Linked DNA regions of Arabidopsis thaliana. The protein of the gene in region 1 interacts with the protein of each later gene in a pairwise test. Each region holds a gene or a part of one and is shown in the gene's direction. Other genes may lie near its edges.

Region 1 (15,235 bases):
TTTTATTTTGTCGGATTATATATAGAATAGTGGTCAAGGATATACTATAAGATAAACCAATTTTGAATGAAATTTATAAATTCAAATTTCTAGAACGTTCCGTTGATGTCGGAGGTCTTTGGTCAAGTAATTCTATGTTCTGGTTCATGCTCGGATAGATCGCGGAGTTGACATTTTAGGTTGGTGTAGAATGTGAGGTATAAAACAAATTACTAATAAAACCTTTTAATAAATATGACAATTCAAATATTCTATTGTTTGTGGAGTTTGAAAAATACACCTTGTTATTGATAAAATGTTAAATTTTGTCAAGTGTTTCATATGTTTACAAGTAACATATGTCAGATATTATGTGTTAACATGTACTAGTAGTTTTTCTAATCTATAGTATTTTCGTTGGTCTCTCATTCTAACGTTTTGACTTCTTATAACTTTTTTGAATATAGATAAGAAAATATTCTGTTGTTTGTTGCGTTCTTAAAAAGTACACATTTTCATGGACGTTAAATTTGTCAATATTTGTCAAATATATGTACTACTAGTCGAAACGAAGATTTTTATAAATTTGCTTATTTGTACTTTCGCTGGTCTATCATTCTAACCTTTTGACCTCTTAAGTTGTAATTTCCGAATTCCGAGACTAGTAAATAGCGAATAAGCTATATTGCCATGTATAGTATATTCTTAAAATAGTAAGTATTTAAACAGGTGACACTGACAACACAAAAATCCAAATGGTATTTTCCAACTTTATCTAAAACCTTTATAGTTGTCAACTAGTAAAACGAAACAGAGGATACTTTTCTAGATTTGTCGTAATGAACCCATTACGCAATGGTGATTAAACAATTAAAACACTAGTAACAAAAAGACTTGTATACTCTGTGATCTTATAATAAGGATAATTTAATTAAAATATTATTTCATGACGTTATTTAAATTTCATTTTAGACCATGTATTTGCATACATATGTCGGCCTCGTCGACCATTCGGGGACCAATGGCGGGATATAACTTAACGAACATGATTACTTTAAACAAGAGAAAATCTCCATCACTCAACATTGACCAATTATTTATTTGTGGAAAGAAAGGAAAATCCAAAAAACAACATCAAATCATGACACGTCACACGAGCACAAGACACGTGGATTATTATTAGCTTGAAGTCGCATTATCAGTTTCTGTAACACGGCTCTGACCCGCTTCTTTGGTACTTCCGACATCACTTACACTTACGTACCCGTATTTATTATAATTTGATACTACTAGTTACTACAATTTACTGCACATACTCTTATTTGATTGGGCTTAGTTGTCATAATAACATCATTTGTATAAGCTAGAGATGGTTTGATTGGTATTGGGCTTTAAGCTCTCTTAACTACTGTATAACACCATTTGTTTTGTTTTGTTAAGTAAGAATATTTATATTTCATGTTTATAAACATATACTTTTACAAAAAAAATACAACAGATTATTAACATTTTCGTCAGCTCAACTCTAATTCAAATGCTAATTCCATAAGTTATTTGTAAAACCTAAAGTTTAAAAGAAAAACGAATATGGCAAAGAAATTTACAAGGTTTCCCAAAAGAATCAGAACTCATACAATAATACAACAGTGACAACAAGAAATTGAAATTTACTGCTACACATTTCTCTCCACACTATAAATTACAATCCACACAAAACACACACTTCAATCAACACTTGAGTCTCTCTACTAATCTACATGAATCTTCTTCCAAGACAAAGCAGCCACGGCAAAAGCACTTGAAGCTCCTATTAAAGAAACCAATAACAACTAATTGATCTTCTTTGGCTCATTCAGAACAAACTCTGCATACAGATCCTTCAAAGCAATCACCACCGTCGTTATCAACGGCCCCATTATCGCTCCCTGCAACAACAAAATACCCGAAAAAAACATTACAAAATCGCCAATTTTTGTTCCAAATTTCATAAAGACCCAATCCTTTAATTTTCTTACCTCTAGAGCAGAAGGAAACAGAGTGACTCCACCAATAATACTTAGTCCAGTAAGGTAAGCATTGGACCCAGGAATGTCATCTTGAATCTCTGAAGCACCATACTCCATTAGCACAAGATGAGTCACAGATAAAATCACTGCAACAATATATCTTCCTTCTAGCACGAGCTGCAAAGCCGCTGGGATTGTCGCGAACCAGTAAGGGAAAATCGGTAACAGAGCGCTGATGAAGGCAAGAACGGTTGACATGTAAAGGAAATGTATATTGTATAGTCTAAACAATAGCCAAGTGAGACATCCTTGGAAGAAGGCGATTTCCGCTGTTGCTAAAAGCACGCCGGATATCGCTAAGTCTAAGACTTCGACACATCTGTTTCTAGCGCTTGCGTTGATCGGGAGCATGTTCATGACTTGCTCAGTCACACCGCCTGATTCTGATGTGATAAGAATGTATAAAACCCAAATGAAAATCATTAGCTGAGAGATAAAGTTGAAAAACTCTGCTGCTCCTGAGATTATCAAGTTTCCAATAGAGAAAACGAACTTAGCACCGCCTCCAACAACCGATGCGCTGCTCGAGAAAACCCGTTGCGATACATCCATTCCTTTAACAGCAAAGCCTTTAGCTTTCTCTACTAAATCTTCTCTAGTGATAATAAGCTCCCTGAAGATCACATCAACCTCCGAGTATATCTGACTCCACTCTCGATTCTTAACCCGAGTCCTCAAACTCATGAGCTTCTCTGTATAAGGAGACGGAGTTATAAGCGCCGTGGAAGGCGTCGACGTGTTCTGAGGATGCCCGATCACAAAATGCTTAATCCCAGTGACTAACTCCGTCATATTATACTGCATTGCCAAACTATCAATCTGCTCAGAAACCGTTTCATAAAACTTCGTTGTATACATATCAACCATTCCCGGAACATCATTCTCATCCATCCATTGCTTGATCCCAATCTTCTCAGCGTAATTACTCTCTTCAACATGAGATTTCAGAGAATAAACAGCATCTTTCCCTTCAACACCAATCTTATACGAGAAGAAGATGACACCAGTCAAAGATCCAACAATCATGAGCACAATCAAACCAATAGCAACTATAGTATTCAATCTCGTCATTATCCCTCTAGTGAAATAAGCAGTGAAATGGCTTCTCCTAAAACTATTACTCCTCAGAGAAGAGACCGCAGAGAGAGACGAATCAACATTCTTGGAACTAAACAAAAACCCTAAAGAGAGAATGACAAGAGACCCAATTCCACCAATCCTCTCATAAGCAATGACAAAGACACCAAAAGAGACTAACCATTTAACCAGTTTAGAAAACCCAGTATCGTTCTTCTTCCTCGTTCTCTTAGGTTTCGATCTCCTAAGAAAAACCCTAAAGCAGACGTTTTTAATATCCACAATCGACCCGATGAAAACATTGAAGACAGAAACAGGAACAGCGAGAACAACTTCCGTAAGCCCTAATTTCAAAGGCTCGCTCCAGAAATCAACAAGGGTTTCTTGAATACCTCGTAAAGGAATCGAACAGAGAATCGCCCATTGAATCGGTCTTAGATACTCTTGTAATAGCTTTCCGACGAAATACAGAACACAAATGGCGAAAGCGAGACCAGCGTGAGCCATTGCTATGTACATAGCGAGACGGGCTTGGGAATCAACGGTTGATAAAGATGTTTTGCTTGATGATCCATCGCCGGAAGGTTTACGCGGTGGCGATGAAGAAGAAGAAGACGGAGGGTCTTGAGGTTTACGAGATGAAGCGGAACGAAACATCTCTTGCCACGCGAGATTTGTGGGGATCGATGATTTCGTCTCCGAATCGTACGGGACCAATTCCATCGATCAATCTCTGTCTCCCTCCAAGAGCCGATTTTTTGAAAATCTTTGAAAAGAAGGTTTTTTGTTTGTTTGGGGGTTTGTTTTGCCTTGAAGCTGTAAGAAGAAACAGAGAAAGAGATGTTTCAGATTTTTATTTATTTATTTATTTATTATTCTCAAATCTCAGATGATAATTGAATGTTTTATGATTGGGACATTAATGGAGGAGACAGAAAAGAGAAACTATCTTAGTTTAACTTTAAAATGACGGAAATGCCCTAACCGACGACTAATTGATGGGTCTATTCCTGGAATTAAAATCAGTAATTTGAGACATAATTTTTTTTATGAAACTTTATTGATGTTTTTGCTATAAGTAAATTAGACCGATACAAATTGTCAACTAAAAGAATGTCACATGCCTAGAACATGCATGACACAACAAAGCCAGATAATTAACGCAAGTCACAAACTCACAATCTAACACGTTCTCCTGTCTCTGTGATTATTGTAAGATCGACAGATTTATTTCTTCTATTCCAAAACAAGCACTCGATTAATATTTACTTACACGTGATTACCATTTTCTTACTATTTTATTTTATGGCACGAAGTTCCATTTCTTGATTATAAATTTTTAATATTACCGTACCAGAACGTTGACCCAAGTTTTCTATCAGGAAATTTGTTAGGAAATGACAAATTAGTGCTTGATATCATGCATGAATCATGATCAAAAGTTGGCCCCATGTTTTTAAAAACATGGGCTAAAATTTTGGGAAAAAATTAACGAAAAAAAGATTGATGAAATAATTCTGTCAAGTACATAATAAATTCATAATACGAGAATTACGTGAATAACCTAAATTTTGTATCAACATTATTAAAAAAAATAGTGTAGAGTTTCATAAATTAATAAAATAATTTAAATTCAAACTCTAATTAAATCTAACCTCTAGACTTTAAAATCTTAACTATAAATCCGTAATGCATGGAAACATTAATTCTTCTGTAAAACAATAAACAAAACAAAATGGTCAATTGTTTAGAAAGTTCAGTATTTTAGTTAGATGAAAAAGATTTACAATAATAATTGTGTGATTTATTGAGTAATGATCGGGTTTATTCACCAGCCATCAGGCGGCTGATCGGGCCAGTTAACTAACATAAGGTCTGAATAAAAATGGGCCGAATCAATAAGGCTCGTCAATCTCAGTCTTGTGCTACATGTATTTTCACTTCTTCCACTTCCAAGTTCAAACAAATTTCGCCAAAATGGGATTACCTTTATGAACCAAAAGACGACCAGGGGACCTGACTTTATCGGTGTTAATGTTTCAATCATACTAAAATCGACAGAAATTAAAGTAGTGGATCCACAAATCTTACATTTTTATTAGAATAAGAAGTTTACTTATACAAAGAGATGATGACGTGGCCATGCAAGCTTTTTGTTTTATTACGTAGGCCCTCGGCTCCAAAAGTTTGTTGAGACTTCGAAATCTTGGAATTAAAGCTTCTCGTTTTCGAGGTCAAGCGTACATGTTAAGTCATTTTTATTCGTAAAGTGATAATAAGCTTTTTAAGTATCATCAACTTTCATCACTTATACATAAAATTCATTTAATTTACTCTTTATACGTATGACACTTAACCAAAGCTTTTGCTATTTAATCATTTGGCTAACTAACACTTCTTTCTTTCTTTCTTTTGGTAGGTTGCGGAACTAATTAACGCTACTCTTTCAAAGTTAATTTTTTTTACTGATAGTGTTATGTTTCCACAACAGTATGTTGCGTGAGGTGACGTCTATATGCTTATGACTATAAGCTAGCAGCTTAAACTATGTACAAAAATGTACAATGTCATTATTGTGATCACAAAATTGGTAGTTAGTTAATGTCATATATATATATATATATATATGTGTGTGTTTTAATTTTGTTAGGTACAGAGGCACTCTTGTAAATAAAAACTACCACTAAAATCTGAATGTTTTGTGCATTAAAAAAGAAAGAAAGATAAAACCTCGTACCGATCTGAATAATTTTTTATCAATGAAGTCACAATTTTGTACGTTGATGAAGTCAACACGTGGCAAATTACAAACTCGACAATTTCCTCAAGAGAAACAAAAAAAATCCCTGAAAAATTCCTCAAAATTTTCTTAATTTTCGAGATAAATTGATTTAAAATAAAATAAAACAGAAAGATACGCAATGAAACTGCGTTTTCAAGCAAACTGCTAAATTTCTATCTTTTTTTCTCTCTCTCTCTCTCTCTATAAGGGCTCTGCTTCTTGTACAACAGCCGAAACAATTATACCATGACATTAAAATCCAGATTTTTTTCAGTCATTTTCGTATTATTTGTTTAAAAGTAAAGTTTTTCTTCCATCAAAATGGAAAATGTGATCTGGTTTTTTTCTTAGAAGATATTAAAACAATCGGAGAGAGGATTGCAAATTTTTTATTTTTGTTAATTTGCTGTGTGATGGGTCTGGTTGATTCTTTGTTAGGAAAAGATGCAAGAAAATTTCTCAAAAGGAAAGATAGTGATGCTGCAGAAGCAGGTACGTCATTATTATAACAACAATTCATGAATCTGCCTCCATATTCTTCATTTGATTTGCCTCATCATAATTCAGATTTCTCATGATCAAAAATGATGCTTTATTTATTCCCACGTTGTCTCTGTTCTTCACCGTTTAAGTTAAATGGTTTTGATCGGATCTTTAATGGTTTTGATCGGACCTTTAGGCTTTTTTGATCTGTTTGTGAATTTGTAGGACGAGCTTTGGAAGAACTCAGAAGTTCTTTGTACAATGAGCTTAAAACATCAGAAGGAGCTAAAAGGCAACAACAGAGATTTTGTGGCCCTGTTGTTGCAATGTCCTTTAATTTCGTTGTTGCTGTTGGAATCATCCTTGCCAATAAATTAGTAATTTGGTTTCTTCAATCTCAAATTCTTCTTTCTCTTTTTTTTATTTACCATGTGAATGTAATTGTAAGGTTGAATTGTGCAGGTGATGGGAAGAGTTGGATTCAATTTCCCAATCTTTCTAACATTGATTCATTATACCGTGGCTTGGATTCTTTTAGCTTTCTTCAAGTCTCTCTCTTTGCTTCCAATGTCTCCTCCATCAAAGACAACACCTTTCTCATCTCTTTTCTCTCTTGGAGCTGTCATGGCCTTTGCTTCTGGACTCGCTAATACCAGTCTCAAACACAATAGGTTCATAGCTCAATCGCTAAAGTTTGAATCAAGATTCATAGCTTAAGCTTGAAAGCTTTTGTTCTTCTTTGTTTCCAGCGTTGGATTCTATCAAATGGCTAAGATCGCAGTTACACCAACGATTGTTCTTGCCGAGTTTGTTCTCTTCAAGAAAACCATTTCTTCCACAAAGGTTTCGCTTATATCTTTTATGACATGTCAACAAAACAATCAAGAATTCATTACATGTTTTTGGTGCTTACTCTGTTTTTGCAATTTGTCCTCTTACAGGTCATGGCATTAGCTGTAGTATCTCTAGGTGTGGCAATCGCGACAGTGACGGATCTAGAATTTAATTTGTTTGGTGCATTAGTTGCTGTTGCTTGGATTATTCCAAGTGCCATTAACAAAATACTCTGGTCTAATCTTCAGCAACAAGCTAATTGGACTGCCCTAGCGTAAGAAATAAGAATCTCTCTCTTTTACTTTTACTTGAGGTGTAAGCAATACAAGTCTCTTAAAATAAAGGCTTTATTGAATGTAGATTGATGTGGAAGACAACACCGTTTACTGTCTTCTTCTTGTTGGCTCTCATGCCATGGCTTGACCCACCTGGAGTTTTGCTTTTCAAATGGGATTTAACTAACTCTTCCGCAATCCTCATCTCGGCTCTTCTCGGCTTTCTTCTCCAATGGTCTGGTGCACTCGCTCTCGGGTTAGTCTTTTTGTTCTCTTGCTTTGGTTGGAAGTTCAGTCTTGAGGTTATAAAATGCTAACTAAATTTGTTGTTTCTTACAGGGCAACATCAGCAACATCTCATGTAGTATTAGGGCAATTCAAGACATGTGTGATCTTGCTTGGAGGTTACGTTATCTTCGGCTCTGACCCTGGTTTCATCAGCATCTGCGGCGCTATCGCAGCTCTTGGAGGCATGTCTGTCTACACGTGGCTCAATCTTCCGGGGAAATCCATCGATCACATGTCAAACAAGCAGCTGCCAAAGCAAAACGTCACCGTTTCAAAACCTAAAGCCGAGGCTGACGACGGAGGAGGAGAGACCGGAGTAACCGTAGTTTCTGTTGACCCACTTCTCTCCAAGACGATAACTGCAAATATCGTATAGTTTTACAATTTGATTAGATTGCCAAAGAGAAAAAAAATGAGTTTTACTTTTTCTTCTTCAGGTTTTAGTTTGTAAAATTGGTTCAGTTTTGATATCAAATTAGTGTAGTAAAGTATACTAATAAAAATATTTTGATATCATAATGTGACAAGAGGGCTTGGTGGGTTTATTTGTACGATAATGAAATAGATGGTGTAGTTTAGAAGTAATGTAAAACTTGATGTGTATTTTTTTTTTTGTCGTCACTTGATGTGTATTATGAGGTGCAATTAGTAAATATAATAAACCTTTTTGACTTTTTCTATAATTTCAAAAACTTTAATGTAGTAAAGTGAAAACTTGTGGGGAATAGGGTTTTCGGTGATAAAATCGGGCTGACCCGAACCCGGTTTAGTGCGAGATTCCACTGTCCGTCGTTAACAAAGGAGCTAAATCTCAGAACGATTTCTCGATTTGCTTTTGCGACATTATAATTTTCCTTTCAATTGACTCAGTGAGTCGCCGATCGAGTTAGAAATGGGAATGGGAAGTAACGGAGAATTGAAGTATGAGATCTCCCAGAACGCGTACATCAAACTCGTTCTTCACTCGCTGCGACACAAGACGGCGGCGGTCAACGGAGTCCTCGTCGGTAGAATCAGCCCTAAGGACGACGGAGTTGTAGAGATCTCAGATTCTGTGCCGCTCTTTCACTCTAACCTCGCTCTCCTTCCTCCTCTCGAGATCTCCCTCATCATGGTTCGTATCTCTTCTTATTCGAATCGATTTGATTTTACGAGCTTTGAAATTGAATTTTGAAAGAGATTATGATCTGATTGCATTGGTATGTATATTGAATTACGAATTCTGGAAATTTTTAGTTCGTGTACTAAGCTTGAGCTGCATATGTTATTATTAGCTTGTTCTTAGTTTTCTATATGTTTGCTTGATTCTCAGTGAAGTCTTATTGTTGTTTCTATATTAACATAGAAATTTCAGATCTTTATGTGTTTGTTCTGTAGCTTTGTTTGTACCTATATCCTTTAAAGAAAAACTTACGGATTCAGGTATATTTTTTGTTGTGGTAGATAGAGGAGCATTATGTGGCTCAAGGTTTAAGTATTGTTGGATACTTTCATGCAAACGAGAGGTTTGATGACGTTGAGCTCTGTGGTGTGGCTAAAAACATTGGTGATCACATTTCTCGCTATTTCCCTCAGGCACCAATTCTCTTGGTAATTAAATGTCTTATCCTTTACTTTCAAATGCAGCATTTTCGTTTAACTATCTTATGTTTTGTCCCTTTATGCTGTTTGTAGTTGAACAACAAAAAGCTTGAAGCCTTATCAAAGGGTAAAGAGCGAAGCCCTGTGATGCAGGTTGGTATTTCTAATCATGAAAATGCTTTGAAAAGCTTAGGAGAATATGAATATGAGATTGAGAAGTTAGTCAATTTAGTATTTAATATATATCAAGGCCACTCTACACCAGTATAGCTTCTTGGTATTTGAAAATATGGTTTTGGTATATTGTTATGCTCAATATAAGATCAAGAGAAAATAGTGAAAGACTGAGACACTCAAATTTTGTTGTATATGCTAATTTATGGTTACTCCAGGCTCTTGTCTCAACTTTGCATCCTAAGCAAATACTGTAAATTTATAAGATATACATGACTATACTAGCTAATTAAAGTTCACACTGTTTGCTTGAATTGTGCTACCAACCTTCTTGACACCAAGCTTATATGGTCTATGTAATAAACCCTTTCTCGCCCTTTTCTTTTGGTACTTTCTGCTTGATGCAGTTTCTCTGCAGCTGTTAAACTCCTATTTGTCACTTTTTACGGATTTAGTGATAGTGTATGTTGTATGTATATGCTAGCTCTGTGTGAAGGATGCTTCTAAGAACTGGAGAGTAGTTGGAGCAGATGGAGGAAGCAAGCTACTCTTAAAAGAGCCATCGGCCAATGTAGTTTTGTCAGATTACATTTCATCTGAGAAATGGAAGGACGTCACAGATGTTGATGATCATCTTGATGATGTAACAAAGTAAGTTAAATACACGAACTGAAACAAAAAAAAAGAAGCTAGAACCTTTATGTACCAGATGGTAATATCTCACTCATATTCACTGTAATTGCAGGGACTGGCTAAACCCTGGACTTTTCAACTGAAGATGGGTATGCGACATAGCTAAACTAGACTTTTGCTTTCATCATCTTCTGTCGAAAAACAAAAAAGTTCTCGGAGACCATTGTTTAAAATTTCCCTTGAATCTTGTTAAAGTATTATCCAGCTATGCAACAGAGCTCAAATTACTTTTAATTGGTACACATCTTAAACCTTAGTTATATCATTTGAATGATATCTTTTGGAGCTTGTTACATTTTGATTATATAGTTGGAATGAAGAAAGCTCTACTTTATTTGGCTACTGTTCTTATACTTACAAAGGGAATAGTTAAATACTGAAGAACATGAAACCAAATCTAGTGCTTTACATTGTTTGAGTCCCTTAACTTGGAGGGTTTTACACAGATATAAGGTTACCGAAGCCATCAACAGTTACCCCTTTCAGGACAACGTTGCATCTACTTCAATTCTTAAAACACGGGACAACCTTCAACAACAACACCTTTGGCTAGAGGGCAATGCGCTAGAGGGCAATGGTCTGAATTCTCAAGCCCCCACCAATCAGGTAAGCTTATATCATTGTTCTGGAATGCGAAGAATATCAACACTCCCATAATCGCAGTACCTGCATCAAGCGCCGCAGAGAGGATGTAATTGTGCCTCGCCCACCAAGTTTTGAACCTCCTGAAGATGTAGTAGTTGAACACAACCCCAACGATGGCCCAGGACCAGTAATGCACAGCCTTAGCTTGTGGCATGGCGCTTACTGCAGAGAAGATCAAGGGAACATGGATCTGTTTTAGCCATTTCTTCTCTGGGAACTTCTTCGATAGGTACCAGAAGGGAACTGGAGCGAGGAGACCGATAAGGAAGAACCAGTTCATCCCGGGATAGATACCTTCTTTGGTAAACATTCTCCCTGGACCAATCACTCCCCATATGATTGATGCATTGTAGAACACTTCATCTCCAGGACAAGTCCATGGACTACCCACCGGGAGCAAATCGACATTACATATGTTCTCGACGGATGTAATGAGCCACCAGGTTGTTCCGAAGCAGACAGTTGATGCAACCACAGTTGCAACAAGCTGGACGATGAACATTGATCTTGGAGGAATCTTCATGTAGTGACCAAGCTTGAAGTCTCCTACAAAGTACAAGGCTTGAGACATACTGATGTATCCGTATGTCTTGAAAGCGACATTGGCTAGTGGCTTTCCTGGGTATAAGTACCCGATGATCAGTTCTGTTATAACGTTAAGACCCATTTGCTGGTTAGTAGTTGCTTGGATAACTCCGATAGGTAATGTGAAGAACAAAGCGATGGCGCAAGCGAGTATAAGTCCCCACCATGGGAGCTGAAGCTGTTTGTCAAAGCCCTCGCAAGCATAGAGTGCGAAAGCAAAGGAAATAACTAGAACTGCGATGAACCACCATTGAGGTACTGATTGATAATTCTTCTTCATCAATCTCGAATGCACGTCACCGTACTTGTCCTTTGTTGCTGTCTTTGCCTTCTTCCACATTCCCCATATAAACCTTAAGATACAAACACAAAAGAAGCTTAGAGAGAGTCATCATAGAAAATAAGCTATTCAAAAGATGTTGGAAGGTCCTTACTTTCCATCATAGAGGGCAACATGAGAGATGGTAGCGCAAAGAGAACCAAAGCTGAGTCCATAGAGCAACGCGAACATCACACTCAAATAGAGCTTGCTGTAACCGTTGTAAGCGTCTAGATTGATATCGAAATTCTTCTCATTGAGGATACGGGTAATGTTATAGGTGTGTCCAGTCTGATCAAAGGTGTGTGAAGTATAGAACGGAAACTTCTGAGCATCATAAGCATTAGTCCAGTAGAAGATAGGTAGAACAATGTATAAAAAGATGAAGAATCCTCCAAAGAAATTGGCAATGGCGAAGAATGGTACAGCCAACGGACTGCCTAAGAAACCAGCAACTGTGGACCAGTCAAGACCGAACGAACCAATACCTAAACCCTTGAGCCCAGAACCGACAATCTGAGCGGTCACTGAGCTTTTCCAAATCCAGCAAACAAATGAAATTGCGGAAATGGAAGGGAAAAGGTAGCCGGGGATTATGTAGTAAGCAAAGCTCACACAGAAGACAATGATGAAGAATCTAAACCTTGTTTGTTGCCCTTTTTGTAGATCCTCCTTCTCATGTAAAGCTCTGTTACATAGCCAAAATCAAAACTTGGCTTAAGAGAAAGCAATAAGAGTCACATATATGGGTCATTGAAACGAACCTAAAGAGTGAGACTTGAACCAAATTTGACGGCCACCACATATACGGTGAATCCACAAGGAACTTCCTGAAGATTCCAGCCCATCCATATCCCAACAACTGCAAAAGAAATGATTGTTAAAGTCTTAAAGATCACAAATCGTTAAAAATATTTGTTTCTTAGGCCATAGTTCTAGTATTTAAATGACTATTACCCACAACAACAAAATGAATATAATAATTTGTAAATGTATAAAATGCGAGAAAAATAATAATCAGTAATCATAAAGATTGAAGAACGTAATCAAGAAGATAATAGCTTTTTTTTTTTGTGTAGCTACTGTTATATCCACCCATTATAAAAACAAAAAGACAATAAAACTTAAGACATGTAAAAACTATATACCTGAGTGGTTTGAGTGAGCAACATGGCGGCGGCGACATTAAGTTGACGATTATAAAACGCTTTAACAATGGTAATAATACTGGTGGCGTAAACTCCACCAGCTCCGGTGTTAGCAAATATTGTAATAAGAACATGTTCCTTCATATTGAACGGACCAGGGTTAAAAGACCACGACCAATTCGTCCCGGGAAACCCAAATTTCTTTGTCGGTAGCGTCTTTGCCATGAGTTTCCCTAGCGGAAGGGTCACGATCTGTGCCGCAACTGAAGATACCCAAAGCTGGTTCGACCGGAAACCAAAGAACTGGTTCACGAAGGCAAGCAATATGCAAGAGAAAAGTCCAAGAGTCCATGTTCGAAACGTTAGCACCGGTAGTGTTGGATCGTCGGTTATCGGTACCGTTAACCGGACTTCTTCAATCGGATTATCATTCTCCTCCTCCAACACCTCTTCTTCTCCTGCACGTTAAAATTCAATCCAAACACACACTCTTAAACCAACCAACCATAAACGACTAGAAGATTTAAAGAATCGAAACAAAACCGGGATAAACCGAAATAAACCGAAGGAACATAGAGATACATTACCATTGATGACGATCTTGGACTCGTGAGAGTCATCGGAGGGTTTATGTTCGTCGAAAACGCTCGTCATTGTTTTGTCTTCAAGCTCCTTTTTTCCGTCCTTCACGATGGTTTCGTTTAGAAACCGAGGTTGTCTCCGGCGACGGTGACCGGATTTTCTAGCCCTCGGTAACCAGTCGGAATTTTAGAAAAGAAGCCTGAAGATTAAAGATTACGATAACGTTTTTAGCCTAGAAGCATTTGTTCATGAATTTGACTTCATATATAGACTTTCGACACAAAAAAAATGGATGTCAATAAAAAAAAATACAGACTTTAGACAATTTACACCACATGAATTTTGGTTTTTACCGTTTTACTATTATTAAGGTTAAGGAGACCGTTAAATAAGGATCCGTTTTCTTTGGTTTTTTTTTTTTTGGTCAACATTCTTTCAAAAGTATTGACTCAACAAGAATAACTAATTCAGAATTTTGTAAACTGTATTGGAATCTTGAAAGCGGACAACTCAAGATTCTGTATATACTGTATTTAATTAGTATCTTAATTGAATCCTATAGACTGGAATCTTATCAAAGTACCTCTTCTTTTGCACATGAAGAAGAACAAAAAAATAAAATGGAAATAATTGTGATGATACAAAAAAGAAGTAAAGATAATGATGACATATACTAAAAATGTATGTAGCTGGTCCCGATAATTAAGAAGTTAAGACGTATCGAAATCTAATATGCTTGAAACATGCCATGGTCATGTCAATTACGTTTGCTAGTGATATTTGAAGACTGAATTGGGTCATTGGTTCAGCTATATTTCAACAATTCAGATTTCGTTAAAAATAAACTAACAAGTAGAATAAAAAGGTTATCTATCTACTTACTAAAACCAGCATTTAGGTTTAGTGGCTTTCTTGTTCAATTATCTGCGTATTCCATATTCAACTTAAATTTTTCGTTGCCAATTCATCACCATATTGAAGTACTGTATCATGCTATTAAGTTTAAACAATATTTTGTAGACCGACTTTTAAAATACAACAAAATTGAATTAAAAATGGATTAGAAAGTCCTAACTAATTATATAAGATAGTCCAGATGGAAGAACTCAATTCGATCTGAGTTTTAGTAAAGTAATTTAATGAATCGTAAATCTTAAAAATCATGAAAAATCACTTGCAAGAAAGTGAGAAACAACCTATGGACCACAATAACAAGAATTTGTCGTAAAACAAAGAAAAGGTTTTAAGTTTTGTTGGAAACTTACTTGGTCAATTCTACTCGTGGTAATGTGGTGGACAAGCCTTAAATCGCGATTACAAGCTTAGAGAATGTTGTAAAGAAATACTCCAAGAAGATGGCATATTTATAGGACGAGAAGAACAAAAATAAAAAAATTTGGATATCCATCGCAGTTATTACAGATTCTTTATTTCTATAAATAGATTCCTAAATCGTTGCGTTTTGATTCTATATTCTATTTTTGTAAATTAAAAGTCCATGCATGGTTAGATATTGCACTGTCGTCTAGGTTCATTTTTACGTTTCTATTGCCAGCTCTAACGATTTTGACTGTGATTCATCTTTAATTAGATAATTAAGATCTATTGCCAGCTAGCTCTATTGCCATATTAATTACATAATTATCTCTAAGACTAAAAGATCATGTTCTGATGAAACTTGTCAACTTGACATGTCTCTAACTGCCAAAACTTATGAATTTAAT
Region 2 (16,594 bases), on another chromosome or scaffold:
GTCGTGCTTTCTCAAGGTTAATGCACTGATTCTTGCACGCGTTACTGTTTCCGCAAACTCCGGACCATGTCCCACTTGGCCTCTCGCACAACTTCTGTGCTTCCACCACCATCGGTGCTTCTGCATATAGATATATCTCTCACAGTTAATTATCACAATAAAATGAAAGAAAAAAGGTTAAAACTCAATTTTCCATGCATATGGTATACGATAACATCATTACTCACCAAGAGCAGCAAAGAAAACAAGAGCAGCGAAGAAAAGAGTAACGATGGTAGCAGACTTAGCCATGACTATTGTTTATACTTAGTTGTTTTCGATGTATATATGTTTTAGTTTGAAGAAATCTGCTTGAAATCAACCACTATTTATAGTGAAAAAATGATGGGGAGGTCGACTTTTACGTGTGCATGGGACAATAAAGCGTTCAACCCTATAAATAAAAAAATACACACCGTCTGATAGTAGAGAATACTAACATGCAAGTATTCATCTAATGATAGAAGATAATATCTTGACCAATTCATAAAAAGTGTGCTGATCGTGATCGGTGGCGAGTTTTCAGGTGCTACGTTTGTTCATTTGCAATTTCATTGGACCGGTGGCTACTACATTAACTGTTAACATCTCTGGCTGGTTAATTTGACTTGGTCAAAATTTTAAATATGTTGAGCATATCCTAGTACGGTACTCAAGTGGTACTTTGTCTCGACCACATCGCATTTAATAATAAACCATGAAGTTGGGTAGTATTTTTTTATCGACTTTTATTATTTTTTACTGAAACCTCCAAGGAGCTACTTCACTAGCTGGCAAGTTGATAAATTAGGTTATTTCTTCACTTTCTTTGGTATTGATTATATAATCATCAAACTAATTAGGATCTAAACATGTAATTAAATATTAGCAACATAGTGGATTTGGACTAACAAATTTGTAAAATAGCGCATAGATTATATTTAATTTCGTAGTTCCCACCTCAACTCCCACACAAAACTTCTTGGATTCAACTCTGCCATTTTCGGACGACCGAGAAGATAAATCCGATTTAATTTTATTTATTTAACTTATTGTTTTAAGGTAAAAAAAAATTTTTAAGAAAAACTGAAAGAAAATTCGTTTTCGATTTCATAGCCGTCATCCGCAAACTTTGACAAAGACTTGTCTCCTCTTTAAACATTTTCTGTATCAACAGCCACGTACCTTCAAGCCCTTCTAAGACAGCACCAGCACTAGCCGTGCATGGACAAGACAAGTAACAAACTCAGAATAGTACACCACCCAAGTTAATTTGTTAGGTTATTATTAAGAATAGAAAGAGAAGTTAACATTGTTAGATATGAATTATATTTGGTTAGATTAAGAATGCTTAACTTAGGGAAGGCTGCTTCTCTGTTTAATGTAACTTAACTATTTAAGTGGCTGCTTTGGCTTTTGAGTCAAGTGTTACATTGCCTATAAGAAGTGGGCTTATTTTGAATACACACACAATTAAGGGATCAATTATGGGATTAGCATATTAAAGTCTGTGCTTTTGTAGATATAGGAACATCTCATGTTCCTTACAAATTTAGATACTTTTATATTATATGGATGACTGTTTTATCCTTCAATCTAATTGAGTTTCTTCTCCTTGTACCTTCAATCTAATTGAGGAGAATTCATCAATATCAATCGATCTCAGAAATGTGCGATTATTTCTCTCTCTTTCTCTTTCTCTAATGGCATGGAATCTATTGCCTCTAAACTCACCATTGATGTCCATTGCTTCTCCATCACCTTACAAAATTCAGATCTATGCCTGGCCAATCTTCTTCCTCGACGATGCAGGTGGTAATCCTCCATAGCTTTTTTGAATTTGAATTGTTTGATCTGAATTAATTTCATCCTCTCTTTCTTCAATTTCAAAGAGGGATAAGAAATAATTGAAAATTTTAATCGATTCCAATTATTTAAGATTAGTATATTTGGGTTCGTTATATAATATTTTCTTAGGGGTTAGCTTTCTTCCATCAAAAAGCTTTTAACTGATTTTATTGGGGTTTATCTGAATTGGATGGTGATGAAATGTTATTAACAGATTTTCTAATTTTTGTCTCTATCGATTTTGTTTCCGTAAATACATCTTTTGTGTATATATTGTCTTGTAGAAAGAAACATTGATTAAGTAGAGAAATAGGATAATCAATCTCTGTACTTAATACATCATCCATTGAAACAAGTTAGGAATCGATCCAATATGAGGCTCTGCAAAAACAATTCAGGAAAAGATTCTGCAAAAACAATTTAGGAGAATGAGTGAAATCGCAGGGGCAATTTCGTCAATTTATTTCCCAAAAACTGCCTATCTTCATAAACTCAATCATAATGTGCTCTTTCTCTAATTTATGGCCCAAAATGTACCCAATATTATAAAAGCCCCCACAATTAAGCACCAAAGAGTTTTGGTACATTAACTTGGGAGGAAACAGAGACACTTGTTAACTGGTAAGGCAACATTTCAAATTCCATATCTTGTTCTCTCAAGTCCAATGCATTTATCCTTGCACGCTTGATTGTTTAAACCATTTAGATTAATGGGTTGGCATTGGTCACGCTGATCCAATGTTTCAAATGGGTAAGTGAATGTTGATTGCCGACGTGACTGAAGACCCAAGGCCCAACGACCTACTGGTCCAGGTTGACTATGAACAAAAGAACTAGATTTTTTTTTCCCCTACATTTTAAAGAAAATACTTGATGAAGATGTGGTGCCTTTTCATAAGATCTAAAAAGTTTCAAATCTTTACGATGGAACAAAAAGTGAAAGGTGAAGTAAGGGTCATTTGGGATTGAGAAGTTTCTTCGTCCAAAATCATTGCATGAGTTGAATAGATTTGGGATTAAAGCTGCCAATACAAGAGGATTCGGTAATGACTGAAGCAAAAGCCCAGCAGGGCCATTAGGCAAACACCAGTTTCCAAGACGGATTTGTGTAAGACCACTTATGACACAAGTTTGTCTTCACTATCATCATCTTCTTCTTCTACTTCTACTACTACTTTTGTAGCCTTGTCGTTTTTATCATTAACATGATTGACAAGACTATGACCTATATATCTTATTATTATCATTGCTCTCTCTATTTGTTTATATTGATTATTACTTTTTGAGATTTTTCAATGGTTTTATCTCTAACTAAACATTATAATTAGTGAAACAAGCTTAGTAGAAGTAAAAGTATTATTCTATGCTAAAGTACATTGATTAGTAGAGTGTGTAATTGTGTATACAGATAATCTATAAACAATTGGTGCATCTGTATATAAAACTTTATGATTTATTTATTGTATTTAATAAGTATATGAATTGGGTACCTAACTTTCTAAACAGTTCCAAATTTATTCTTAAATCAAATTGCATATGATTTTTAAATATTTTGAGACGATTTTATTATAACGCAAACAACAGAGTAAAAGAAGCATATGTTGCAAATTGTACTATGGCAAGTTCAAATCGAAACATTTTTGTGAAAATCAAACATGTGAACCAAGCTTCTACAGTTTAATTCCCTTTCGTATAATTTAATTTCAACAAATTTATTGATATCCATCTAGAAATTGGTCCAAAGTTCTTTCACCCTTGAGTCATTTAGTGATAAAGATGACATGATTTTTGGTGATAAATTTTCCATCGTTGCTATATGTCGTTATATTATTCTCCTATATGTATATTATACTATTTACATCAGAAAATAATCCAAAGTTTAGAGATTCTTTTTTACAATAATAAAATTTCCCACTTACTAAAAAGAGCTCCTTTTCTGCTGAAGAGAACCTAAACCTTTATTCCCAAAGTTCATTGAGTTAGAGCATTTTCAGCGAATCACATAAGAGATGCTCTCTTCTTCATCACTAATTGACATCTCATTGTTTTAAAGGTTGCACTTGTACCTGTTGATCTGATTCTCAATCCACTTAAGTTAAACCAAATAGACACGAGAAAAAAGCACATTTATTTGTTGCTAAGTATGCATATTTTTCAGCGTTTACTTCTTAATCTAATGTATATCATAAGATAATATCTAAAAGAGAATGCACAAAAGATTATTAATATGAGAAATTCGCTGCCATTTAGGAAGGACCTTTATACCAATATACCGCAATAATAATAGAACATTGGTCCCCAAGTGTATGTCAACCCCAAGTGTATAGATTTCTTTAAAGATTAAAATCCCTTTTTGTTGCTAAAGCACCTGATATATTTTTCTATCAAACTAAAAAAATTGTTAGCGGGATGAAGATATATTCGCCAAGAACCATAGTGCTTGTATAACGGCAGACCATTAATTCACAACTATTATTATTTTATTGTTAGATTGTTGATAGAATCGATTTTGATTGTGGCAGAATCGATCTTGTAAAAACTGCTTTAAGGTGCTTACTTATAATTAAGAAAGATTCACTTATGTAAGTTAAGCATATTAATCATATCATTCGGCCTAATTCATTAGGAATATTTTGCTATTCGTTTTGCCATCATTAACAACAAAATTGACACGTTTTCAGCCAAAAGTATTAACAACTAAACCTAAAACTTCAAACATTAAATAGTTTTTAGTATCTTTAGTTTCAAACTAGTGATTTGTCCTAATATCAACACTACGAACGAATTTATATACATTGAACTTTTTTCTGAATCACCGATTACAAAACGAATATAATTTGGTATCGGCAGTTGCTATTAATTTGATCGGTTTGGACTTTGGACTAATCACGATCAAATCTTAAATGGACCGAAGTGAATAAATCCCTAATGTTTTCAAGAGAGTCACACGAACGAAACAAAGGTAAAATATGAACATAGAGCGTGGGGACCTTGAAGCAGAAGGTCTGTATGGTGACAGACCGGTGAGTGGAGTGTATGAATGAACGAGAAGTGAGAAGACAAAATACAAGAAAGAGCGTTGACTTGGAAGTTAAAGCCAAAAAAACCACAAGGGGCAAATTTGTCTCTTTAGGAAAAGGACACAGACAGACTTTCTATACGGGCCAATTAGAAAAATAGGCCCTACTTCTAATTAAAGCCCATTTACTTCTCTCCTTGTCTTCTTATTCCTCTTTTCTCCCCATCACGTGACGACGATGCTATAAACGCCGTCGGATTATATAACTGGTGCCGTTGACAAGACGGCGACAGAAGAAAGAAAGAAGAAACCACAGGCTCTAGGGAACGTAACGTTATGTCCTGTCTATAGCATTTATAACGGTCAGATCAACGCCGTTTAGATAAAGATCTGTCAATGTTAAAGAAGAGATGCATCTCTACACCGTTAAATTTAAAACGCCGTGAACCTCTTATCTATTGATTTTTGTTTGATGAAGCCAAAACAAATCGTGTCAGAAGACTTATCAGAGAAGAAGAAAACGACGACGTTCCCGTTTCTCCATGTCTAATAAGTGTAGTAGTGGCGGCTACTAAAAACTCTAAAGTTTGACTCCAGTAAAACTGCCTTTCTAGTGTAATTCCAGTGATTTTAGAGTTTGAATAGTGTGTGACCAAATTTGAAAGTACAATCTCAGCAATATTATTGATCACTCGTTATAAAAGAATCGAATGTAAAAATAGCCAATGAGAGACTGAGACGTATGTGTTTGACCATAAGTCGTATAGTTTGTATCTATCTACCTGCAAGATCAGCAGATGGTTCTCTGATCAATTGTACCTTAATTATCTTTTATTTTCGTAAAATTTCTCTATTCACAAATGATAAATCTACTTAAGACAGTAACCATAACAAGATTTACAAGATAATTTGAAAAATGAACACATAAAAGTATTTTGGCGCATTATTTTTAATAATAACAATATTTATGTAAAGTCACATAAAAGTATATATTCGCTCACAAAGTCTTACGGTATTTAGAACAGTAGTACCACATCGATTCTCTTCATCTTCTTCTTCATAATATGCCATTGTTCATGTCTCTGTGTCCTATCGCATAACACTCACGCTATCTTATTATTTTCTCTCGCTCTTTCTCACTGAGAGGACACTAAAAAAATGGCGATGAGACTTTTGAAGACTCATCTTCTGTTTCTGCATCTGTATCTATTTTTCTCACCATGTTTCGCTTACACTGACATGGAAGTTCTTCTCAATCTCAAATCCTCCATGATTGGTCCTAAAGGACACGGTCTCCACGACTGGATTCACTCATCTTCTCCGGATGCTCACTGTTCTTTCTCCGGCGTCTCATGTGACGACGATGCTCGTGTTATCTCTCTCAACGTCTCCTTCACTCCTTTGTTTGGTACAATCTCACCAGAGATTGGGATGTTGACTCATTTGGTGAATCTAACTTTAGCTGCCAACAACTTCACCGGTGAATTACCATTGGAGATGAAGAGTCTAACTTCTCTCAAGGTTTTGAATATCTCCAACAATGGTAACCTTACTGGAACATTCCCTGGAGAGATTTTAAAAGCTATGGTTGATCTTGAAGTTCTTGACACTTATAACAACAATTTCAACGGTAAGTTACCACCGGAGATGTCAGAGCTTAAGAAGCTTAAATACCTCTCTTTCGGTGGAAATTTCTTCAGCGGAGAGATTCCAGAGAGTTATGGAGATATTCAAAGCTTAGAGTATCTTGGTCTCAACGGAGCTGGACTCTCCGGTAAATCTCCGGCGTTTCTTTCCCGCCTCAAGAACTTAAGAGAAATGTATATTGGCTACTACAACAGCTACACCGGTGGTGTTCCACCGGAGTTCGGTGGTTTAACAAAGCTTGAGATCCTCGACATGGCGAGCTGTACACTCACCGGAGAGATTCCGACGAGTTTAAGTAACCTGAAACATCTACATACTCTGTTTCTTCACATCAACAACTTAACCGGTCATATACCACCGGAGCTTTCCGGTTTAGTCAGCTTGAAATCTCTCGATTTATCAATCAATCAGTTAACCGGAGAAATCCCTCAAAGCTTCATCAATCTCGGAAACATTACTCTAATCAATCTCTTCAGAAACAATCTCTACGGACAAATACCAGAGGCCATCGGAGAATTACCAAAACTCGAAGTCTTCGAAGTATGGGAGAACAATTTCACGTTACAATTACCGGCGAATCTTGGCCGGAACGGGAATCTAATAAAGCTTGATGTCTCTGATAATCATCTCACCGGACTTATCCCCAAGGACTTATGCAGAGGTGAGAAATTAGAGATGTTAATTCTCTCTAACAACTTCTTCTTTGGTCCAATTCCAGAAGAGCTTGGTAAATGCAAATCCTTAACCAAAATCAGAATCGTTAAGAATCTTCTCAACGGCACTGTTCCGGCGGGGCTTTTCAATCTACCGTTAGTTACGATTATCGAACTCACTGATAATTTCTTCTCCGGTGAACTTCCGGTAACGATGTCCGGCGATGTTCTCGATCAGATTTACCTCTCTAACAACTGGTTTTCCGGCGAGATTCCACCTGCGATTGGTAATTTCCCCAATCTACAGACTCTATTCTTAGATCGGAACCGATTTCGCGGCAACATTCCGAGAGAAATCTTCGAATTGAAGCATTTATCGAGGATCAACACAAGTGCGAACAACATCACCGGCGGTATTCCAGATTCAATCTCTCGCTGCTCAACTTTAATCTCCGTCGATCTCAGCCGTAACCGAATCAACGGAGAAATCCCTAAAGGGATCAACAACGTGAAAAACTTAGGAACTCTAAATATCTCCGGTAATCAATTAACCGGTTCAATCCCTACCGGAATCGGAAACATGACGAGTTTAACAACTCTCGATCTCTCTTTCAACGATCTCTCCGGTAGAGTACCACTCGGTGGTCAATTCTTGGTGTTCAACGAAACTTCCTTCGCCGGAAACACTTACCTCTGTCTCCCTCACCGTGTCTCTTGTCCAACACGGCCAGGACAAACCTCCGATCACAATCACACGGCGTTGTTCTCACCGTCAAGGATCGTAATCACGGTTATCGCAGCGATCACCGGTTTGATCCTAATCAGTGTAGCGATTCGTCAGATGAATAAGAAGAAGAACCAGAAATCTCTCGCCTGGAAACTAACCGCCTTCCAGAAACTAGATTTCAAATCTGAAGACGTTCTCGAGTGTCTTAAAGAAGAGAACATAATCGGTAAAGGCGGAGCTGGAATTGTCTACCGTGGATCAATGCCAAACAACGTAGACGTCGCGATTAAACGACTCGTTGGCCGTGGGACCGGGAGGAGCGATCATGGATTCACGGCGGAGATTCAAACTTTGGGGAGAATCCGCCACCGTCACATAGTGAGACTTCTTGGTTACGTAGCGAACAAGGATACGAATCTCCTTCTTTATGAGTACATGCCTAATGGAAGCCTTGGAGAGCTTTTGCATGGATCTAAAGGTGGTCATCTTCAATGGGAGACGAGACATAGAGTAGCCGTGGAAGCTGCAAAGGGCTTGTGTTATCTTCACCATGATTGTTCACCATTGATCTTGCATAGAGATGTTAAGTCCAATAACATTCTTTTGGACTCTGATTTTGAAGCCCATGTTGCTGATTTTGGGCTTGCTAAGTTCTTAGTTGATGGTGCTGCTTCTGAGTGTATGTCTTCAATTGCTGGCTCTTATGGATACATCGCCCCAGGTTAGTTACATGTCAACAACATTAGTACTCACCAAAATGATATATGTTCTGATTATCATTTTGTTTTTGGTTTGCATAGAGTATGCATATACCTTGAAAGTGGACGAGAAGAGTGATGTGTATAGTTTCGGAGTGGTTTTGTTGGAGTTAATAGCTGGGAAGAAACCTGTTGGTGAATTTGGAGAAGGAGTGGATATAGTTAGGTGGGTGAGGAACACGGAAGAGGAGATAACTCAGCCATCGGATGCTGCTATTGTTGTTGCGATTGTTGACCCGAGGTTGACTGGTTACCCGTTGACAAGTGTGATTCATGTGTTCAAGATCGCAATGATGTGTGTGGAGGAAGAAGCCGCGGCAAGGCCTACGATGAGGGAAGTTGTGCACATGCTCACTAACCCTCCTAAATCCGTGGCGAACTTGATCGCGTTCTGACCCAAGCAAGATAAATATGAAAATAAGATGCGAAATGTGGTGATCATTTTTTGGGTGTTCTTATTTATGGTTTCTAATACTTTCGGGTTTGTATATTTGTTGTGTTTCAATTTGTATATTACCTCTTTATGTGTTATTATCTCGAGTATGTAATGTAATCAATATGCTTATTGCTTGATGGCTTTAAACTTTAGCTAATTCTCCGTTCAGAGTGTATAAAATAAAAGAATGTGAGAGCTTTGACCTCTGGATTTAAGTCTAGACTGTTTAGAATATGTGAATTAGGGTCATATCTAAATTCAGGTTTGTGTTAGCTTCCGACAGTGTCATGTTGCAATCTTGACCTTACTTACAAAGTATTTACCAGCAGATGGCTCGGAAAATAAAAAGGAAACACATCTGATAAAAAAAAACACGGAATCAACAGACTAATGGTTGATTAAGAGATTGGACTCGTACTCTGCATTTGGAATAATGACCAGTTTCATTGAGTTCTTGGGGGTCATTCACTTCTCATATTTTTACGAGCTAAGAAAATCACCTCAGGGTCATAACATTGTAGTTTCTGCTCTTGAAGCAAAACACACATAAACTAAGAAACCGGAAAAATTCACAGAAATCAACAACCAAGAAGCTTTAAAAGTTCATGAACAACAGAATTCAACCTCTATAATGTGCATTTTCCCACAAGATGAGGATGATGCTGTGAAGCTAATTCTATCCATAACTCTTACCTCCATTCATAGAGCAATTCAGAGAAGAAGACAAGGCACATAGTCACAACTTATAAACGGGTGTGAGAAGAAGACAAGGCAAATTAGTCACAAATTCATTAAGGTAGAGAAACAAGATCCTTCATTACTCTGTTTTAGTCTCTTCATTAAGAATCATATACAATTTAAATCACAAAACTTTCAAGGCCACAATCTTGATTAACTTGGAAAGACCTGAGTTTCATTCAGATTTAAACAACACTGCAGCTCTCAAAATTCAAAATCGATTGTATAAAGAAAACAAGAACATCTATCATCATCATAATCACTATCCGATTTTACAACATATCAATACAAACAAAAACCTCCCAGCTTACACGAAGAAGAACATCATTACCTTATTCCTTAACTCCGAACACATGTTATTTAGATTACTCTGTTTTAGTCTCTTCATTAAGAATCCCCCAAAATTCTCAATGCCACAATCCTCATTCAGTGGTAAGACTCGAGTATCAACATTCAAATTTGGATAACAGTGCAGCTCTTAAATTCAAAATCCATTTTTACTTTTAAAAACAAGAACATCATATCTATAATCATCACAATCACTATCCGATTTTACAACATATCAATACAAACAAAAACCTTCCAACTTACAAGAAGAAGAACACCATTACCTTATTCCTCATCATCATCTATTACACAGAAAATCTATGAGAAACGTATATATCTAACACATGTTATCTACTTCACAAAAGTCAAAATAAAGAGGGAAAATTCGAAGTTTATATACTCAGAAAGCACCGTAAGGTATATGTTGTGGAAGCCTAAATCGAACCTGTGAAGCCGGAGACCGAACCGCAACGCCGTGCCAGCAAATCCCTCCTTTACAAATCGCACCACCGTCGTGATGGTGACGGTGGTGGCTAAGATCTTCCTCACCACCAACACGATTGTACCGAGAAACCGCCTCCGCTGCTCTACGAGACACATCCCAAGCAAGCGTAACTGCAAGCAAAACACCAACTGCCGTAATCGAAACGACGACGACGAATCCAGCGCTGAAACTCCTCCCGGTGATTAATCCGTAGGCTTTAATCGCGATAATCACCGCCACGTAGATCGTCGCGAGATTCCCGAGAACCGCGTCGGATAACGCCATGAGACACATCTAGGACTTTACTTCTTCTTCACCGTCGCCGTGAAATTCGTTGCGGTGGAGGAAGCTTTTTAACAGAAAAAGTGGAGAAAAGCGAAATTGTGGTGGATGTTGAAATACTCAAAAAGACGTCATCCTTGTCAACGAAGGGAAGGATATTTTGAAATTACTAAAACACCCTTGACAAGATCTTTTGCTTCCTCTCTATGGCTCATCACTAATGCGAGAAGAGTTTGGTAAAAGTACCCTTCCCGTAAAACGTCACCGTTTCGGGATTTGGTCAGACTTGCCACGCACTACATTTATGGGTGTATGACATTCTCACGCATGTCGTTGTCAAGGTCCTCAAAGTCCTCAAGAGGCTCTATTTATGTCTGTGGTCAAAATTTGATCGTCGTACTCAAAAATAAATGCTCTTTGGACTTAGTAATTGTTTCTAACGGGCCTCTAAAATCAGTAATGGGCTCCAGTATTAGACCCATCTTGGTATTAACTATTAAGAGTTCTTCTAATTTGAATAGTGGTGTGTTTCCTATGAGATATTATGGCATGTCTTCATCATATTCCATGATGGCTTTAATCTTATGATATTTTTTTGGCAAATCATATGCAGTGAAACAGACACTTGGTTTATATTTATAGGTTTACTCCCACTGTAAATCAAAGGCATCGTCATCAACTCACACTTAATTAAGATTATCTCTTTAATCTTTTTTCAGCTAGTGGTATCACTATTACTGTGTAGGTCCATTTAACTTTTGAAACTTATAATAGAGAATTTCTTATGGCTCTCATATGCGGCTTGTAAAGTCAAATTATTATTAAATACAGTAGTTGGGACAAGACCATGAAATGAATATTAGTATTATTCATTTCAATGTTCCGAATGGCCAACGCAGCATCAGCAGATAACAATTAAATGAAATATTCCCACCAATAGTTTCCAATATATAGCTTTAAACTAAATAGATTACTGCTTTATATAGTGTACATAATATTCTTCTAATCCTAGTTACATTATAAATCAAATAAATATTCTGACCTTACAATTAAACATTCCCATCTTTTATGAACTCCACCAGCAGCCCACTTTCTTGCCCACGTGTTCCTCACCCAAATTAAGAATTCTCCCATGAACATGAATGAAGGATATTTTCGTAACTGTAGGGTGTTGTTAACTTTTTTTCTCAACTCTGACCCAATCCGACGTCGTTCGGGAATAACCGGTTCACATGGGCCGGAACGAGATAAGGCTTTCGTCAGTGAGGGCCCACATTCTTCAGTGTTTTACGCGGGAGACAAAGTTAGGTGTCAAAAGAGCCGCCACATCCGACAAAAGGCCAGCGCAAGTGTGACTGTGATTCCACATAACGAAAGATGACACGTGGACGGTGATCCTTTGTTTTGATCCAAAGCTCCTTCGTATATCATTGATGTATCTACCGGTGACCACGTCGTACTACTATCTCCGGCAGGAGTTGTCGACGACGTCCCGGTTGGTGTCGTCGGTTTGGGATCTGGGCTCTGATCTTGAGATGATTTTTGACTGCAACAAACAAAAAAAAACATAGCCGCTTAGTAAATGTGTACGTGATTCTGCCACGCGTCCCCTCGAGATTAGAGATCATATAAAAAAATATCTCGATGAGCCGTTAACGATCCACATCCCAATAAATCTATCTTCATATTCGAGGGTAAATTGGGACTATCAAACAAATTGATAAGAAAAAAAGAAAAAAAATCGTAAATAAACAAATTTTTCTTTTTGCAGTATAAAGCAAAATTCTATAGATTCGGAGTAATTTATTTCTAGCTATAATTAAGCGTTACTTCAATTGCACGGTAAGCAAAAGGTAATTAATGGTTAGTAAATATGGTGTCTGCAGTAATTGACGAAAATAACCATAATCATAAACTACTATCCATGCTAATTTGGTGCAACAGTGAAGAAGATACATTCTATATTGACAAAACTACCCTCATAGGCAAGGTGTGTTAATAGTTATAAAAGGGTATAAATGGAATAATCACCTGGTGTTAGGAGTAGGGCAAAACGTGATAACGTAATTAGGAGATTCAGCACATGTGAAGGTACTACTCTGATCATCGTAAGCGTAGCTGTAAGCACGTGGACACGCAGTTTTAAACATCAACGAGTACGACGACGGTTTACACGTGTCAGGTGTACCGTGGGCGCCGCTGCAACAATACTCCGGCGTACGAAAAGCTTCACACGCGCTTTTACATCCCATGGATTGTTTACCTCTGCCGTCTAAACTCGTCACTTTAAGCTCCGACGGACACGAACCGTTCAGATCTACAACGCATCCGGTGCTGCTACAGTTTAAACCCGAGCCTCCTTGTGGAGCCACTAGCATCGGGACGTTGTAACCGTCGACGAGACTAACGTCGTAGAAATCGAGTCCGTTAGATCCGTCTAGTGTGAATTCCGCTAGTGTTGCTGGTGGTGTTGCTCCGGATCCGGAGCATTCGAGGGTACCAGATCCGCAATCTCCGGTGAGACAAGTGAATTTTCCGTCGGTGTCGGTGGAACATTGAGTTCTCCCCCAGAATCTTCCTCCCCATGAAGTTGGAGCGCTGATTGTTCGTTCTTCGCCTTTTTGGAGAACGAATCCGGTCGTCGGAAGTGGTGGAACTCCGGCGTTTGATAAAAGTCCAGGCCAGACTGTGTATTCGCATTTGTTCACCATAATGAAGCTCGTTGATCTAACTCCTGTTTATAAAACCATAAAATCATCAGAATCACAGTATTATTAATCATAACTAAAGTTGATCTATAGGAGAAGATTCGTACCAGAAACGAACAAATGAGAGAAGATAAGGAAGATCAATGGCAACGGAAGAGCCATTGAATTGGAGAAGAAGAAGATTTAAGGACTTTAATTGCTCTGTTTTCTTCTTCTTCTTTATTAGTTTTATTTATGAAACAGAGACTTAAAAGAGGATTCTGAGAGCGAAAGAGAGATGAAGAAGAAGATGTGTGCTTTATAGTAGAAGCTTTTTTCCTCTGTTGGTGAGAATCTGGTGTATGTGTTGGTTGGTAGCTTATGGTACGCCTGCTTACGTGGACACATCTAATTGGTTATTTTTTTTAACCGTTGAGATTAAGAAAAGCACCTGATGATTTTATATAGTAAATTTTGTTGTTTAATCGGTTCATAGTTCATAATTAGCACTATACGATAATGGGTTAGTCTGGTTTTTAAATAGTTAAATTACCACTAATTGTTGTCCGAGTTTGATTGATAACATTTTAACGAAAATATCCAATTACCTTTTGACGTTCACTTTTAATTAAAAATATCTACAAAACGTAAAGTAGATCTTTATTTTTCAAGATTCTTTAACTTTACTGTTTAGTTACGTGATTAGGATTTGTAACCACGTAGACGTGTAAAACAAAATTACTTTTTTATCTGTGATTTATAGGAATTTGAGATTTGAATGCAACGTTGTTGTTTCATCTAACAATAAGTGATGAAGAACTTCAAAAGTCTAAAACCATATCATTTATAAAATCATCATTTCATTTTCAGAACAACTAGGTACGATTAGTGGACGTTTCAACGTCTTTCATGATAATCGCGGGCCATGTAAATTATTATATTTGAGGAATGAGGATCCATATAATATCTTGGCTATATAAAAATTATTTATTTGTTCAATATAATATCTTTGCGTTTTATTGATCAATTGCAAGTTTGCAACGATATACACCAGGAAAAAAAAGGAGAAACAAAATTCATTTTGCTTATACGTATGTACTATGTACATTTCTGTATACTCAAAGTTGTTAGATATTTTGTTGTGGAAAGTGATAATGTTGTTACTTTTTACTGTTTTTTAGGTGGTGTGAACTGTGAAAGTTTGAAAGATACAAAAGTGATGAATAATTTTTCAATAATTGTTTTGCGTTGTATTATTTTTTGTAGGAGTAATAGCGACCATCTTTGTAATATTGTGTAGACAGACAGGTCACATCCACTTTACAATATATCGTAAGCAATTGCCATCGTCCTCCCTCACGTTTTTTTTTTCGTCCGTCACATTACAATAAGATATTTAATGGGCCTTTATGCATGGTTTAGTATAATGAATAAGCCCAGCAAATTTTAACAAAAGCACAAATGTGCTGCCCATAAATTAGGTTGGAAATGCAGATTGCATGAACTTTTCGATCATATTCAAAAAACATAGCACAAAACAAACGTTAACTCCAAACAGAGTAACAATAGTTGTCGTCTAATTAATATATTGTTCCAAAGAAAAATATGTAGCTACGTCTTGCCTCTAACACCTCTTTTTCACATCACAAGCATCTTAAAATTTCTTAAATCACTCTTTTCGCGATGAGACATGTCTTTGTCGAGGTGTTGGTTCTGATCTCTTTGGTCATCTTGGAGTTGAGCTATGCGTTTGCACCAATCTCATCGTATCAATGGGTCGTCTCGTATTCTCAACGTTTCATTCTTGGAGGCAACAAGCAGGTAACCATTTTCATTTGAATATGTTTTTATTTGTTACAATAATATGGTTTTAGCTATCTTATATGAAATTTCAGATGCATGATCAATCTATAGGTTATAGTATTCACCAAAAAAAAAATCTATAGGTTATAGTGATCAACGACATGTTCCCTGGACCGATCCTTAATGCAACAGCAAACGATATCATTGTCGTTAACATTTTCAACAATTTGCCCGAACCCTTCCTCATGACTTGGTATATATTTTCAACTTTTTGTTTTGGGTTAATTTTAGGAATAATTGTTATTAAACCTCTATGTAAATTAAAGGAATGGATTGCAATTGCGGAAGAACTCGTGGCAAGATGGAGTTCGAGGGACAAACTGTCCCATACTACCGGGGACAAATTGGACGTACCGTTTTCAGGTGAAGGATCAAATTGGAAGTTACTTTTATTTTCCGACCCTTCTACTTCAGAAAGCTGCCGGAGGATACGGTGCTATTAGAATCTATCCCCCAGAACTTGTCCCAGTCCCATTCCCTAAGCCCGACGAAGAATACGACATCTTGATTGGAGATTGGTTTTATCTCGACCATACAGTATGTTTCTTTGATAAATTACCGTATTATCATCAAACCTACATTCCAATACTATCCTTTTTATATATAAAAAAACTAATTTTGTAGATCATAATCATTTTGGTTATTGAGTTTTATCTTGCCCATTTATTGAATGTGTTATTAGTTTCATTGTAAAAGATGTTTTGCTTGATTTGCATAATTAACACTTGGTTTCCAAATTTTGGTGTAAGGTTATGAGAGCTTCACTTGACGCTGGTCACAGTTTGCCAAATCCTGATGGTATTCTTTTTAACGGGCGTGGCCCTGAAGAGACCTTCTTTGCATTTGAACCAGGTGAGTTTTTTTCTTCTTTTAAAAATATTACATTATATCTTTAATAATGTAGTTTACACACAAATGTTCTTTTTATGTTGTCTATATATAATCACAGGCAAAACATATAGGCTAAGAATATCAAACGTGGGTCTCAAAACATGCTTAAACTTCAGAATCCAAGACCACGATATGCTTCTAGTTGAGACAGAGGGTACGTATGTTCAAAAACGTGTTTACTCGAGCCTGGACATCCACGTAGGCCAATCATACTCT

What was found.
Region 2: the proteins of AT5G55950 (region 1) and CLV1 interact in a protein complementation assay, tested with the Arabidopsis thaliana proteins (one large-scale study listed by BioGRID).

Annotation. Positions count from the first base shown.
Region 1 is NC_003076.8:22,651,336-22,666,570, reverse strand, and holds AT5G55950 (Nucleotide/sugar transporter family protein), read left to right. Parts: upstream 1-6,065; 5' UTR 6,066-6,317; coding exon 6,318-6,396; intron 6,397-6,544; exon of another isoform or gene 6,545-6,612; coding exon 6,613-6,764; exon of another isoform or gene 6,765-6,849; coding exon 6,850-7,058; intron 7,059-7,136; coding exon 7,137-7,230; intron 7,231-7,328; coding exon 7,329-7,495; intron 7,496-7,581; coding exon 7,582-7,752; coding exon of another isoform or gene 7,753-7,813; exon of another isoform or gene 7,814-7,835; coding exon 7,836-8,160; 3' UTR 8,161-8,459; downstream 8,460-15,235. Other genes in the region: AT5G55960 (transmembrane protein C9orf5 protein), read right to left, coding at 1,809-1,904, 1,995-3,845; emb2731 (Uncharacterized protein family (UPF0172)), read left to right, coding at 8,677-8,898, 9,228-9,374, 9,459-9,518, 10,024-10,190, 10,285-10,315; OPT1 (oligopeptide transporter 1), read right to left, coding at 10,744-11,815, 11,897-12,469, 12,546-12,643, 12,930-13,387, 13,517-13,583.
Region 2 is NC_003070.9:28,456,102-28,472,695, reverse strand, and holds CLV1 (Leucine-rich receptor-like protein kinase family protein), read left to right. Parts: upstream 1-5,724; 5' UTR 5,725-6,043; coding exon 6,044-8,633; intron 8,634-8,712; coding exon 8,713-9,065; 3' UTR 9,066-9,352; downstream 9,353-16,594. Other genes in the region: LCR67 (low-molecular-weight cysteine-rich 67), read right to left, coding at 1-120, 228-291; AT1G75810 (uncharacterized protein), read right to left, coding at 10,572-10,949; AT1G75800 (Pathogenesis-related thaumatin superfamily protein), read right to left, coding at 12,249-12,483, 12,969-13,671, 13,753-13,807; sks18 (SKU5 similar 18), read left to right, coding at 15,308-15,445, 15,571-15,680, 15,754-16,024, 16,237-16,339, 16,437-16,594.